3 linked regions of the Alligator mississippiensis genome follow. The main gene of each other region encodes a partner of the protein of the gene in region 2 in a complex. Links are inferred from orthologs where the notes say so. Each region holds a gene or a part of one and is shown on either strand. Other genes may lie near its edges. The genes, in order: THOC5, SARNP and THOC7.

Region 1 (3,744 bases), on a different chromosome or scaffold from region 2:
ACCTCATGGGTTTGATCTCTCCCCTTCTTCAGCCGGATGTGAGCCAAACGGTTGAGTTTCTTCAGAGTCATGAAATGCACACAGCTCTGGATCCGCCGCTCCTCAATCTCAGCAGCCTGAAGGGCAAGAGCGGGGAGTCTGATGTGGACAAAGTTCCTTGCTAGCAGCTCTTGTAAGTAACTAGCCACTGCAGAGCTAGTTGGTTATTGTGCTAGTTAGAAGAACCTAAAGCAAGCAGGGAGCTACAGAGATGAATCTTACAGGAAAAACACTGGTAACAATCCCCTGAGCTTCTGCCAGGCCCCCTCTCCTTCCCAGTCTCAATGTTCAAGTGTTAGAAATAAATAGAGGTCCTCCTCATTGTGTCCATTCCTTAGTCCACAATTCTCCATGCATGTAAGACAGAACTCAGTCCCACTAGAGGGCCCTGGGTGCTGCTTTAATGAGAGCTTTCAGTAATTGAATCCCTAATTCAGAGACAGTTTTACACTCTAGTTCAATAAAACAGGTTGGTCTAAGATTCCCTGAAGGCCAGATGTAGACACACAACCTTACACCATCGTAAGTCACACTACTGTGTGGAAAAGTTATTCCTCACTTTCCAAGGGGTAACTGATGCAAGTTACAAGAGCTGTGTGTGTCTGTAGGAAACTACACACACTTCTCCAGTTCTCAATTTCATTGCAAGGTAGCATTTGCTCTAATTTGACCTGAGCCACTTAGTGACTGACAGCGTAATCATACCTACTAACCTGGGAGACCTGGTCATGTGTCCACTACTTAATAAGGTATAAATATCCTATGGAATAAAATCTGGGACAAGTGACTCCATTGCAACTGCCTACAATCACAGATATCACTCAGTGACTTTTGCACCTCCTTTCTGTTGTCAGGTTAACAGCTGTTGCTATATTTAGGACAAGAATCAGAACAGGCACAACATGGGTAGTTACCACATGAGGGGAGCACAAGGGGCCTGCAGCCTTCATACCGCCTTCCTAGCCGCATTGCCACAAACAGAAGCAGTCAGCCACCTGGGATATTCCCTGTCTAGGAGGAACCAGAGCAAAATGCACCTATTTGTTTTACACAGGAATTCAAAGCATCAGAGAGCAGTAAACAGTGCTGGATTCATATGGTTAAAACTTTCTGTCCTAACTACAATGAATTATTCAATCTTTCCATTTTAGTGTTTTGTTGTGAGCAAGCATTTCACCAGCACAGTACTCCAGAGGTCTCTCCTTACACTGTCTTTGCTGCCTTTACTCTTCAGATCCTGGATTTCTGCCATGAGCCTCTGAAGCTCCTCGCAAGTTTGCTTGTAGAGTTCATAGTCTTTGCCAGGGTCTCTTAGATCCACCTCTGTCTCTTCACTATAGTACTTAACATCCTGTAAAACAGCAAGAAAATAGGTTTCAACTGGATTCCCTTCCCTTCTCAGAAAGAGTCCTGCAGAAATCACATTGTGGGCCTTATGTTTAGCCTCACTCCATCCACTCCAGAATCCAAATGCTTTATGCACCAGTGACCCAACCGCTAGTGCTGCAAACTCCACGGGAGATCCAAGCCTGGCAAATCCATGCCTCACCCATAATCCCATTAAAATTAGCATCTGATCTGCACAGGTCCTAGTTAGGCAATCAAACAACTAAGGAAGAGGGGAGGGAAGGGAAGAGAAGAGCAACAAATAAAACATTTGTAAAAGGTTCAGAGATGCTTGCCAGAGAGATATGAAAGCAACAAACAGAGTCAAACAACTGTGAGAAGACTGCTGAGGACTGAACTGCCTGGACATAGATTCACAGAAGTTTAGGGCTGGAAGGGACCTCGTGAGATCATCGGGTCCCGCTCTGGGCAGGAAAGACTGCTGGGCTCAAACCACCCCAGCAAGGAGTGTGTCCAGTCTCCTTTGGCAGGTAAAAGGCACAGTCTGCCCAGCACAAAACAAAGGCTTTGGAGGGGAAGGGCTGACAAGCTGAAGATGGCAAGTGCATCAGGAAGACCCAGCACCGCATCCAGGAGGGTTTGATACGAACTGAACTCTGTACGTGGTGCAAGCGGCAGTCACTCCAGAGCAGGGCCCCGCCACGTCCAGCAAGCTGGTGCCCCGCTCCGCGCAACCCCACTGCTTTTCAAAACCGACAGATGCCTGCTACTGCCCCGCCAAGGCCGCTCCCAGCACCAGCTGCAGTGCGGCAGCCCCTGCCCCGCGGCAAAGGGCCGGTCACCCCGCACCCAAGCAAGCTCAGGCTGCTCGTCCCGGCGCAGGGGCCGCAGGCTGGCCCGGATCCGACGTGCTGGGGGCGGAGAGGCCCCGCCCCGCAGTACCTGCTCGGCGTCCGCCTTGCTGCGCTTGCCGTCGGGCGCGGCGCCGTCCGTGCGGATCACCTTGGGCTTCCGCTTCTTACTCGAGTCCGACGACATCTGCGGGCGGGAGGAAGCGTCAGCGGCCGCCGCTCACCGAGCCCCGCCCCCACGCACCGGGCCCCGGCGGAGTGCGGCTCCACGGCCGGCGGGGAAGGGGGGAGGGGCGGCGCCGCAGCGCGCTCACCTGCGTCCCGGCCACCGCTCCAACCGGAAGTGGCTGTGCAGGAGCAGACGAGGCACACGCTAGAGCGGCCGCCCGGGCAGCCGGCAGTTGAAGGAGGGAGCGCCCCCTACTACCCTGCGCCGACGCGGTCTCCCCTGGGGAGCGTCACCGCCCGCGCCGCGATCGCCCGCGTCTGGGCCAGGCCCCTTCAGCGCGGGGTCCTAGCGCCGGGCACGGGCACACGGCCGCGAGCTCCCGCAGCCCCGCGCAGCGCTGGGGGAGGCCCGGTGAGCTGCCTCCCGTCACCCCCGTGCCCCCCAAAGGGTGTGGGGCTGCTGGGTTCGCCCTGGCTTCGCCTCCGCCCCCAGGGCCTCAGCTTGCCTGTCTGTGAAATGGGCCTAATGCCTCCGTCCACTGCAACTATGAGGCTTTGCTCCCCTCAGCACGTCCGGGAGTGAAGGAAGGGGCAGGACGCGGGCCCTTCCCACTCTCAACCTGGCAGATGACCCTACTGGGCAAGGCCTCCTCCCCCCACCTTGCCAACTGCTGGCATCTTTGCTCAGAAGTCGGATTGAGGCATCTGGGGCAACACTGCTGCCAGCTGGGCCACCATCTTCTCATGCTTGACACTGCTGGCCTGTGCCTGGCGGGGTATGGAGAAGGGCAACACCAGCAGCCATTCCCCAGGGCTGCCCATTGCCCTGCCCCTCTTGCAACAAGTCTTATCCTTTGAAATTCCTGCTGCCCAGCTCGGTCTCCCTGGGCCTTACCTCTTCCTGTCCCTAAGCAATCACGCCTCCTCCAGTAATGGCCCGTCACTAAAAGCTAGTGTTGTCTCATGAGCACACAGCACTGCTCCATGTACTGGGTGTTGAGCACACCTGGTCTCATGCCTGTCCAGCGTTGGCTCTGGGGGAGCTGGTACCTGGACTGGGGCCTTCACCTGAAGCCCACACAGGTAGTAGGGTCTGGTTGCCAGTTTTCAGGGGCTTAGGCCAAGCTGCAGAACTGGGGCTAAGCAGAAGTCCCCAAACCCTGTTTTCTGTGGGACTAACGTAAACCTTTTCAGCTATGACAACTAGCTTGGTCAGCAAAGTAAAAGGAAACCATCAACATCAATGAAACAAAGCACGAGGCCTGAAAAGAGAGGTTATAAGGGAAGACCATGAATTAAATAATCCACATATAGTATCATAGCTTTATCTTAAAATAGT
Region 2 (3,744 bases):
AAGAGCCTAACCTTAAGATGGGCCCAGTCTTGCTCTGGCTCTCCAAACAGTACCATCACTGTATGGGAGCTCTGTCTGATTAACACCTGCTGGATGGAACCCAACAGCAGGAATGCTCCAAGGACCACGATGCCAAAGAGCTCTCTCCTCAGAGGCTGCAGCCCTGAGACACCCAGTCAGCATTCTTACAGCAAGCCCAAGCCCAGGAAAGTTGACTCCAGCAGAAAGCGTGACCTACCGTGCTCCTCAAGGTATGCCTGGAGTCTGTTTATGAGGTCCTGTTTGTTTCCTTTTGCCTCCAGGCCACGGGCTGTACATTCCTGTTTCAGTTCAGCAAGCTGCATGAGAGAACAGCCTTCCTGTTAGTACACGTCACCCATGTGAGCCATGAACGGGCTAGACCCAAAGCCAAAGAGGGACGTCAAGGGCATGGTCACTGACAAAGGAATAGCAACACGGCCAGCTGGTCAAAGCAGGGGGATTACAAGCCTGGTTGCCTGGATTCCTCCTAGCTTTGATAACTCTCTCTACATGGCAGTCACCAACTGCTGAAGCTTCCTTAGCCTGACGAAGGGTTTTTGAACCCGAAAGCTTGCTTAATAACTATTCTCCAACCATTTGGGGTGGTCTAATAAAAGATATCAAATTCACCCAAGGAACCTTGTCTGCCTATGTCCTTAGATCAACACGGCTACAACCCAAACCCCTCTACATGGCTATAACACTTACTTAACCCGCTCCCCTTCCCCCCCACCAACAACCAGGAATCCACAAAACCAAGTGGCCATGGCACAGTGCTGCCCTAGACAGAAGTGAGAACATCTCATACAATTTCTCCATCTCTCAATTTCCAGTATTCTTCCTGTGCCTTCACTTCCCTCCATTAATAAAACTCCTCAGACCCCAAAAGTTGAGCAGGAGCTCAAGGAAGACCAAGGATTTACTGTAAGTAGAGGACCTGATTCCACGCTGTCTCTCAGCATGACAGGCCCGCTTTGCATCCTGTGGGTTTTATGCTGTCCTGAAAGCAGAGTTCACACCCCACGTGAAACAAAACTGGCAGAGGAGTTACATTTGCTTGCTGTGTGTAACAAAGCACCTTTCATCACACCTGCTAAGGGTAACTAACCTCCACGGTCATGCCAAAAAAAAACCAAGCTCTGAAGACCTGGCAATTACCTCTTGCAGCACCTAGGCACTGTGTTAATGAGCAATTGCAAAATACGAAGATGGTGAAACTTCACAGGAGACAGCATGGCATGGCATGGCAGAGGCTCTGGGGGGCCTGCGCCGAGGTGGAGCCGGAAAGCAGGTTTATGAAACTTGCCCTCCGCCGTGTCAGTGATTTGTCAGCGCCTCGGACAAGATACTTCATCCCTCTGGGACTTGGCTTCACCCAATGACATAAAGATACGTCCCTCTACGTCACAGTCCACACAGATTAAGGTGAAAGGCCACGTCTCTAGGAGATATTATTTATTCCACCGTACAGGATACGCGAAAAGAAAGACAGCCCTCAGATCACCGAGTCCACCCGCCAGGGCTCAGCACAGCACTCCCCAGAGGACCCTTTAGCCAGTCTAATTTTCGGGGTCTCAAGCAGGCCCCAGGGCCTTCCTCTCGCTCTCTGCAAGACCGTTTCACATTCAGAGCTAGCCACTGCCAAAGTACCACATCCCCTCTGGTCTTTGGGCGCGTCCGCAATCGTGACGTATCCGGGGAAACGTCCTTATTCTCCGACCAGGGATGCACCGAACGCCTCTGCACACCTTGGCACAGGTCCCTTGCTCGCAGCAACCAGCGTTTACCCTCCCTATAATCAGGCCCTTCCCAAACCGGGCCGGTCCCCAGACAAGCCAGCAAGAGTCGGCTTTTGGGAAGCCCACGCAGAGGAGCCCACGGGGGCCGCGAGAACAAAGGTCCACGAGCGCTGCGGGAAACTGGCCTCGGCTCAACTTCCCCCCTCCGCCATCTGCCACCACTGAGGCCAGCCCAGCTCCATCCCCCCCCGCAGGGAGGTGAAGGCTGCTCTTCCCTGGACTCTCTCCAACGTGTCCTCGTCCTCTCCGCGCTGGCGCCCGCCCCCGGACACGACACAGACGAAAGGGTCGCGAACAAGCTTCAAACATGGATTCCCCTGAGCCAGCCCGGATCCCCCCACTCCGCCCGCACCTTCAGCTTGTGCAGCTCCACGGTCTCCGCCGCCATCTTGTCGCCCCCTCAGCTCGCCGTCGCCCGCCCCGCCCCGTCCCGGCTCCCCGGCCCAATGGAGCCCCCGCTTGCTACCGGGTCGGCGCCGCCAACCTCGCGCCTCGCCATTGGCCCAACCCCGCGGCTCGCTATTGGCCTGGCTCGCGCGATGCGGGGAGGGCGGGAGTAGGCCCGAGTGGCGCCCCCATGGACCAATAGGACGGCGGGTTGGGTACGGAGACGACCAATAGTGGCACAGGGGCGGGCGCAGGCACTTCCTGGAGACGGAGCCCGGCATTGGGGGATTCCGGTAACCGGCGCGGCGCCGCCAGGTGGGGGGAAGGGAAGGCGGGAGGAGGAGGAGCTGAGCCCGGACTCCTGGGTCCTTTCCCCAGCCCACTGCGGGGGCAGCACTAGGCCTGGGCGCCTGTGTCCCCCCCACCGCCTCCAGCACCGGGGCGGGGAGCAGCACCGGGTCGCAGCCCCGCTTAGGGCGGCCCCTTCTCCTGCTCCCAGCTCGCTGGAGGGGATCGGTCGCGCCCAGACCGGGCGAGAGCCGAGGGGCCTCGTGCAGGATGAACGTGGGGGTGGCGCACAGCGAGGGGAACCCCAACACGCGCGTGATGAACAGCCGCGGCATCTGGCTGGCCTACGGGATCCTGGTGGGCGTCCTCCACATCGTCCTCCTCAGCATCCCCTTCTTCAGCATCCCCGTGGTGTGGACCCTCACCAACGTCATCCACAACCTGGTGAGGCGCCGCGGGGGCAAGGAGCTGGGGGGGGGGTCCCTCTCCCCGGGGCCAGCCCCCCCCTTACATCCGCTTTCCTTCTGGCGCTGGAACCCCGCAGGCCATGTACTGGCTGCTGCACACCGTGAAGGGGACCCCGTTCGAGACGCCGGACCAGGGCAAGGCCCGTCTCCTCACCCACTGGGAGCAGATCGATTACGGCACCCAGTGCACCTCTTCCCGCAAGTTCCTCAGCATCTCGCCAGTAGTCCTGTGAGTGCCGCTGCGTGCGGGGCCTCCCTGCCGTGCTGTCCCCTTGCCGGGCTCTGCAGGCCGGGGCGGCGCCCGAGGCTGTTCATGGCGTGAGCGTGGGAGGGCTCATGGCAGGGGACACGTTCCCCTTGCAGAGGCCGCTGCGATCCTGAGGCAAGTCAGGCCGTGGCTTTAGCTTCAGTTACTCATCGCGGGAATGGTCAGTGGGACTGGGCCCAGCTCTGATGCCCAGAAAGAGCAGGTGTTTTCTGCTCAGAGCCAGGAAAACTGCCTGGCCTGGTCTGCAGCGAGCTGTTGGGCCTTGGGCCGCATGCAGGGGTGCCAAGGAGCAGGTTGCACTTGAGCACTAAGTAGAAACACCGCAGGGCCCGGCCTGAGCTGCGTGGCTCCTGGGATGATTGCCTCGCGTGGAGGGCTCCAGTCTCTGCCAGTCCTGCCTCCCTGCCAGACTCTGGCAGGGCACTGAACCATCCTCGCTGTTCTCTCCTAGTTACCTCCTCACCAGCTTCTACACCAAATACGACCCTGCGCACTTCATCATTAACACAGCCTC
Region 3 (3,744 bases), on a different chromosome or scaffold from region 2:
TTCCAAGTATTCAGTGCATCATTCTTGGAAAATGTAATTTAGAAAGACACTCTTGAGGCTCATTCTAGTGTTGCATCTTTAAGTTTATTTTCAGGATGCGAAGCATGTATTCGAGTAATGGAAAGATTTACCCCTGGATTAAAAATATCTCATTAGGGCAGCATTTATGTACACTCAGATTAGTAGCACTCAGAGGTTCTTGTCTGGATTACAGTTCCACGGTACTCTCGTCTGAAAGACCTGCAAGAGGGTATTCTTTTCCTCCCAGCACTTAAAATACCTTCTTTGTACCAGGCTCTCACATGTGGCCTTCTGGAACATACATACCGCAGAAACGGAGCCCAGAAACATGGACTACACACCATGCATCTGGCCCTGTTGAAACCTGCCGCCATTGCAGCCCACGGCAGTTCATTGCCTTGTTGCTCGGGGGATTGCAAACACTGCAGGGCTATGGTTCTCAACCTTTCTTAGACCCAAGGCAGCCCTTGCTAGACTCAAGACCCCCAGCAAAAAATGCCAGCTCTTAGTCTGCGCTCCATGTTCAACTTCCGTTCCAAAGAACTCGCAAAGGCCCAAAACAGGTGGGAACATTTGTAACCCCCTTGATTCCCGTTTGAAGCCTCTGGATGGAAAAGGTGAATTAGGTTTGCAACCCTCCCAGCACTAACCTTGCATGGACACCCCAGAAAGCAGCTTGGGGCACCTGGAAAGGATCTTTGTAATCCCCTGGATTCCTGTTCTAAGTCTCTGGGTGGATGCAGTGAATCGGGTTTGTACCCTTCACAGTTACAGCTTTGTGTGGACACCCCAGAAAACAGCTGAGAGCACCCTAGAAAGGATCTCAGGGCAGCTCACAAAGGATGGAAACCCCCCGGGATTCCTGTCTGAAATCTCTGGGTGGATGCGGTGAATCGGGTTTGCACCCCTCACTGCAGCTGATCTTCTGTAGCACCCCAGGAAGCATCTCAGGGCACCCCAAAAAGGATCTTTGTGACCCCCTGAATTGCCATTTGAAGTCTCCGAGTGGATGCAGTGAATCGGGTTTGCCCCCCTCACCGTGCTACCCTGCATGGGCACCCTGGGAAGCAGCTCAGGGTAAAGCTAGAAGGCAGCTGGAGAGCACCCCAGAAAGGATTTCCTGGCTTCCTGTTAGCAACCTTGGGGTGGATGTGGAAAACTGAGTCTGCACCCTGGAAAGCCCCTCAGGGCACCCCAATGGGGATCTCAGGGTACCCCAAATGGGGATCTCAAGGGCATGCCAGAGGAGCTCTCAAGGGCACTCCAGGGGGGATCCCAGGGCACCCCATTAAAACCTCAAGGGCACCCCAGATGGGATCCCAGAGCACTTCAAATGGGGATCTCGAGGGCACATCAGAGGGGGGATCTCTGGGCACCCCAATGGGGATCTCAAGGGCATGTCAGAGGAGATCTCAAGGGCACCCCAGCAAAACCTCAAGGACACCCCAGATGGGATCCCAGGGCATCCCAGAGGAGATGCACCTCAAATGGGGATCTCAAGGGCACGTCAGAAAAGATGTCAGGGACACCCGAGAAGAGATCCCAGGGCACCCCAGCAAACTCTCAAGGGTCCCCCAGAGGGGATCCCATGGACACCCCAAATGGGGATCTCGGGGCATGCCAGAGGGGATCCCAGAGCACCCCATCAAGATATCAAGGGCACTCCAGGGGGGATGTCAGGGTACCCCAAATGGGGGTCTCAAGGGCATGTCAGAGGAGATCTCAAGGGCACCCCAGGGGGGATCCCAAGGCACCCCAGCAAGGATCTCAAGGGCACCCCAGATGGGACCCCAGGGCATCCCAGAGGGGATCTCAAGGGTCTGCTAGAGGGGATCTCATGGACACCCCCGACAGGATCCCAGGAGCACTGCAGAGGGGATCCCACGGACACCCCAAATGGGGATCTCAAGGGCCTGCCAGAGGGGATCGCAGGGCACCCCACGGGGGGGTCTCACGGCCCCCCTCCCCCCGAGGGTCCCCGGCCCGGCCCGGCCCGGCACGGCTGTGGTGGGCGCGCACCCCTCCTCGTGGCTGGCGCCGTGGCCCCACTTGAGGAAGCTCTTGACCAGCAGGTTGATGCGGCGGTCGTCGCCCGCGCCGTCGCCGTCGATCAGCAGCCGCTTGCGGATCACCTCGTCTGCAAAACACCGCGCGTCAGCCGCCCGCGCCCCCCACCCGGCCCGGGCCCACCCGCGCCCCGGCCCGGCCCGGCCTCACCGTCCGTGACGGCGCCCATGGCGGCAGCGATGTCGATGGCGGCGGCGGGGAGGCGGCGGCGGCGGCGGTGAGGTCAGCTTCCCACAATGCAGCCGGCTGCGCGGCAGACATGGACGCCGAGGCGGCGGTGGCGGCGGCGGCGGGGGCCGGGGCCGGGGCCTGAGGCCGAGGCCGAGCCCGGCGCGCGGGGCCGGGGGCAGCCGCTGCAGGTGAGGGGCGCCGCGCCACCCCCCCGCGGGCCTACCCGGCCCCGCCGCCCGCCACCCGCACCGCGGGCCTGGCCTGGGCTGGGCGGGCGGCCTGCCTGCCTGCCTGCCCCGCGCGCCCCGGCTGTGAGAGGGGCGGCCACGTGAGGGGAGGCAGGGCGACACATGGGCGCGGGGGGCACCCCGCACTTGCCATCGGTCACCCACCCGGAGCCGGGGTGTCCTTCACGCCTCCCTCCCTCCCTGGCGTCCCTCACTGTTGGTAACTTTCCTCTTTCCCTGCCCCTAAAACAGTCCTCGCCTTTCTCTTTGCGTTGCGTCCCTCTCACCGCCGCGGTGGTGGGCGCCGAGGCACCATTCAGGTCTCATTCGAGCAAATGGGAACAATGCCGCAGGCTTCGGGGGCGCCGCATCATGCTCCGCACCTTGCAGGTCAACCACCACCATTGACTGGCGTCCTGGCGTTGAACATCTCTCTACCTACCTACCTACCGAGATCCGTGCAGACAGTCTCACCTACCATCAGCTCACGTCCTCACATCTGACTATACACATGTACACACACACACAAATATACACATATACACACACATATACCTGTAAAATGCACGGATGCAATCCAAAAAATCAGAGGTCATTGCAACATGTCAAGGAAGTAATAGAAAATTATATATATAATTGATAAAATATAATATAGCTATACCTATCTAGATACTATATCTATCTATCTATAGATATCTACCTATAGATAGATGGATATCTATACTATATCTAGCTATACTATATCTATCTATCTATCTATAGATATCTACCTATAGATAGATGGATATCTATACTATATCTAGCTATACTATATCTAGCTATCTATCTATAGATATCTACCTATAAGATAGATGGATATCTATACTATATCTAGCTATACTGTATATCTATCTATAGAAATCTACCTATAGATAGATGGATATCTATACTATATCTAGCTATACTGTATATCTATCTATAGAAATCTACCTATAGATAGATGGATATCTATACTATATCTAGCTATACTATATATCTATCTATAGAAATCTACCTATAGATAGATGGATATCTATACTATAGCTATACTATATCTATCTATCTATAGATATCTATACTATATTTAGCTATACTATATCTATCTGTAGATATAGATGTATAGATAGATATAGAAAGTATAGGTCTATCTATAGATCTATCTATAGATATCTATGGATACTATAGATCTACCTAGATCTAGCTATAGATAGATAGATATAGTGATAGAATATAACATACT

What was found.
Region 1: SARNP (region 2) and THOC5 share a complex: the UniProt entries of both Homo sapiens proteins name them as parts of the transcription/export (TREX) complex. The link is inferred for Alligator mississippiensis from reciprocal best matches to the Homo sapiens genes SARNP and THOC5.
Region 3: SARNP (region 2) and THOC7 share a complex: the UniProt entries of both Homo sapiens proteins name them as parts of the transcription/export (TREX) complex. The link is inferred for Alligator mississippiensis from reciprocal best matches to the Homo sapiens genes SARNP and THOC7.

What each region holds. Positions count from the first base shown.
Region 1 is NC_081833.1:26,651,705-26,655,448, forward strand, and holds the start of THOC5 (THO complex subunit 5 homolog), read right to left. Parts: upstream 2,646-3,744; 5' UTR 2,552-2,645; intron 2,425-2,551; coding exon 2,329-2,424; intron 1,391-2,328; coding exon 1,247-1,390; intron 117-1,246; coding exon 3-116; intron 1-2. UniProt on the Homo sapiens protein: Component of the THO subcomplex of the TREX complex which is thought to couple mRNA transcription, processing and nuclear export, and which specifically associates with spliced mRNA and not with unspliced pre-mRNA.
Region 2 is NC_081838.1:6,888,150-6,891,893, forward strand, and holds the start of SARNP (SAP domain-containing ribonucleoprotein), read right to left. Parts: upstream 2,266-3,744; 5' UTR 2,209-2,265; coding exon 2,173-2,208; intron 339-2,172; coding exon 239-338; intron 1-238. Other genes in the region: ORMDL2 (ORM1-like protein 2), read left to right, coding at 2,766-2,939, 3,040-3,191, 3,682-3,744. UniProt on the Homo sapiens protein: Binds both single-stranded and double-stranded DNA with higher affinity for the single-stranded form. Specifically binds to scaffold/matrix attachment region DNA. Also binds single-stranded RNA. Enhances RNA unwinding activity of DDX39A.
Region 3 is NC_081835.1:3,383,298-3,387,041, forward strand, and holds the start of THOC7 (THO complex subunit 7 homolog), read right to left. Parts: upstream 2,331-3,744; 5' UTR 2,258-2,330; coding exon 2,239-2,257; intron 2,159-2,238; coding exon 2,041-2,158; intron 1-2,040. UniProt on the Homo sapiens protein: Component of the THO subcomplex of the TREX complex which is thought to couple mRNA transcription, processing and nuclear export, and which specifically associates with spliced mRNA and not with unspliced pre-mRNA.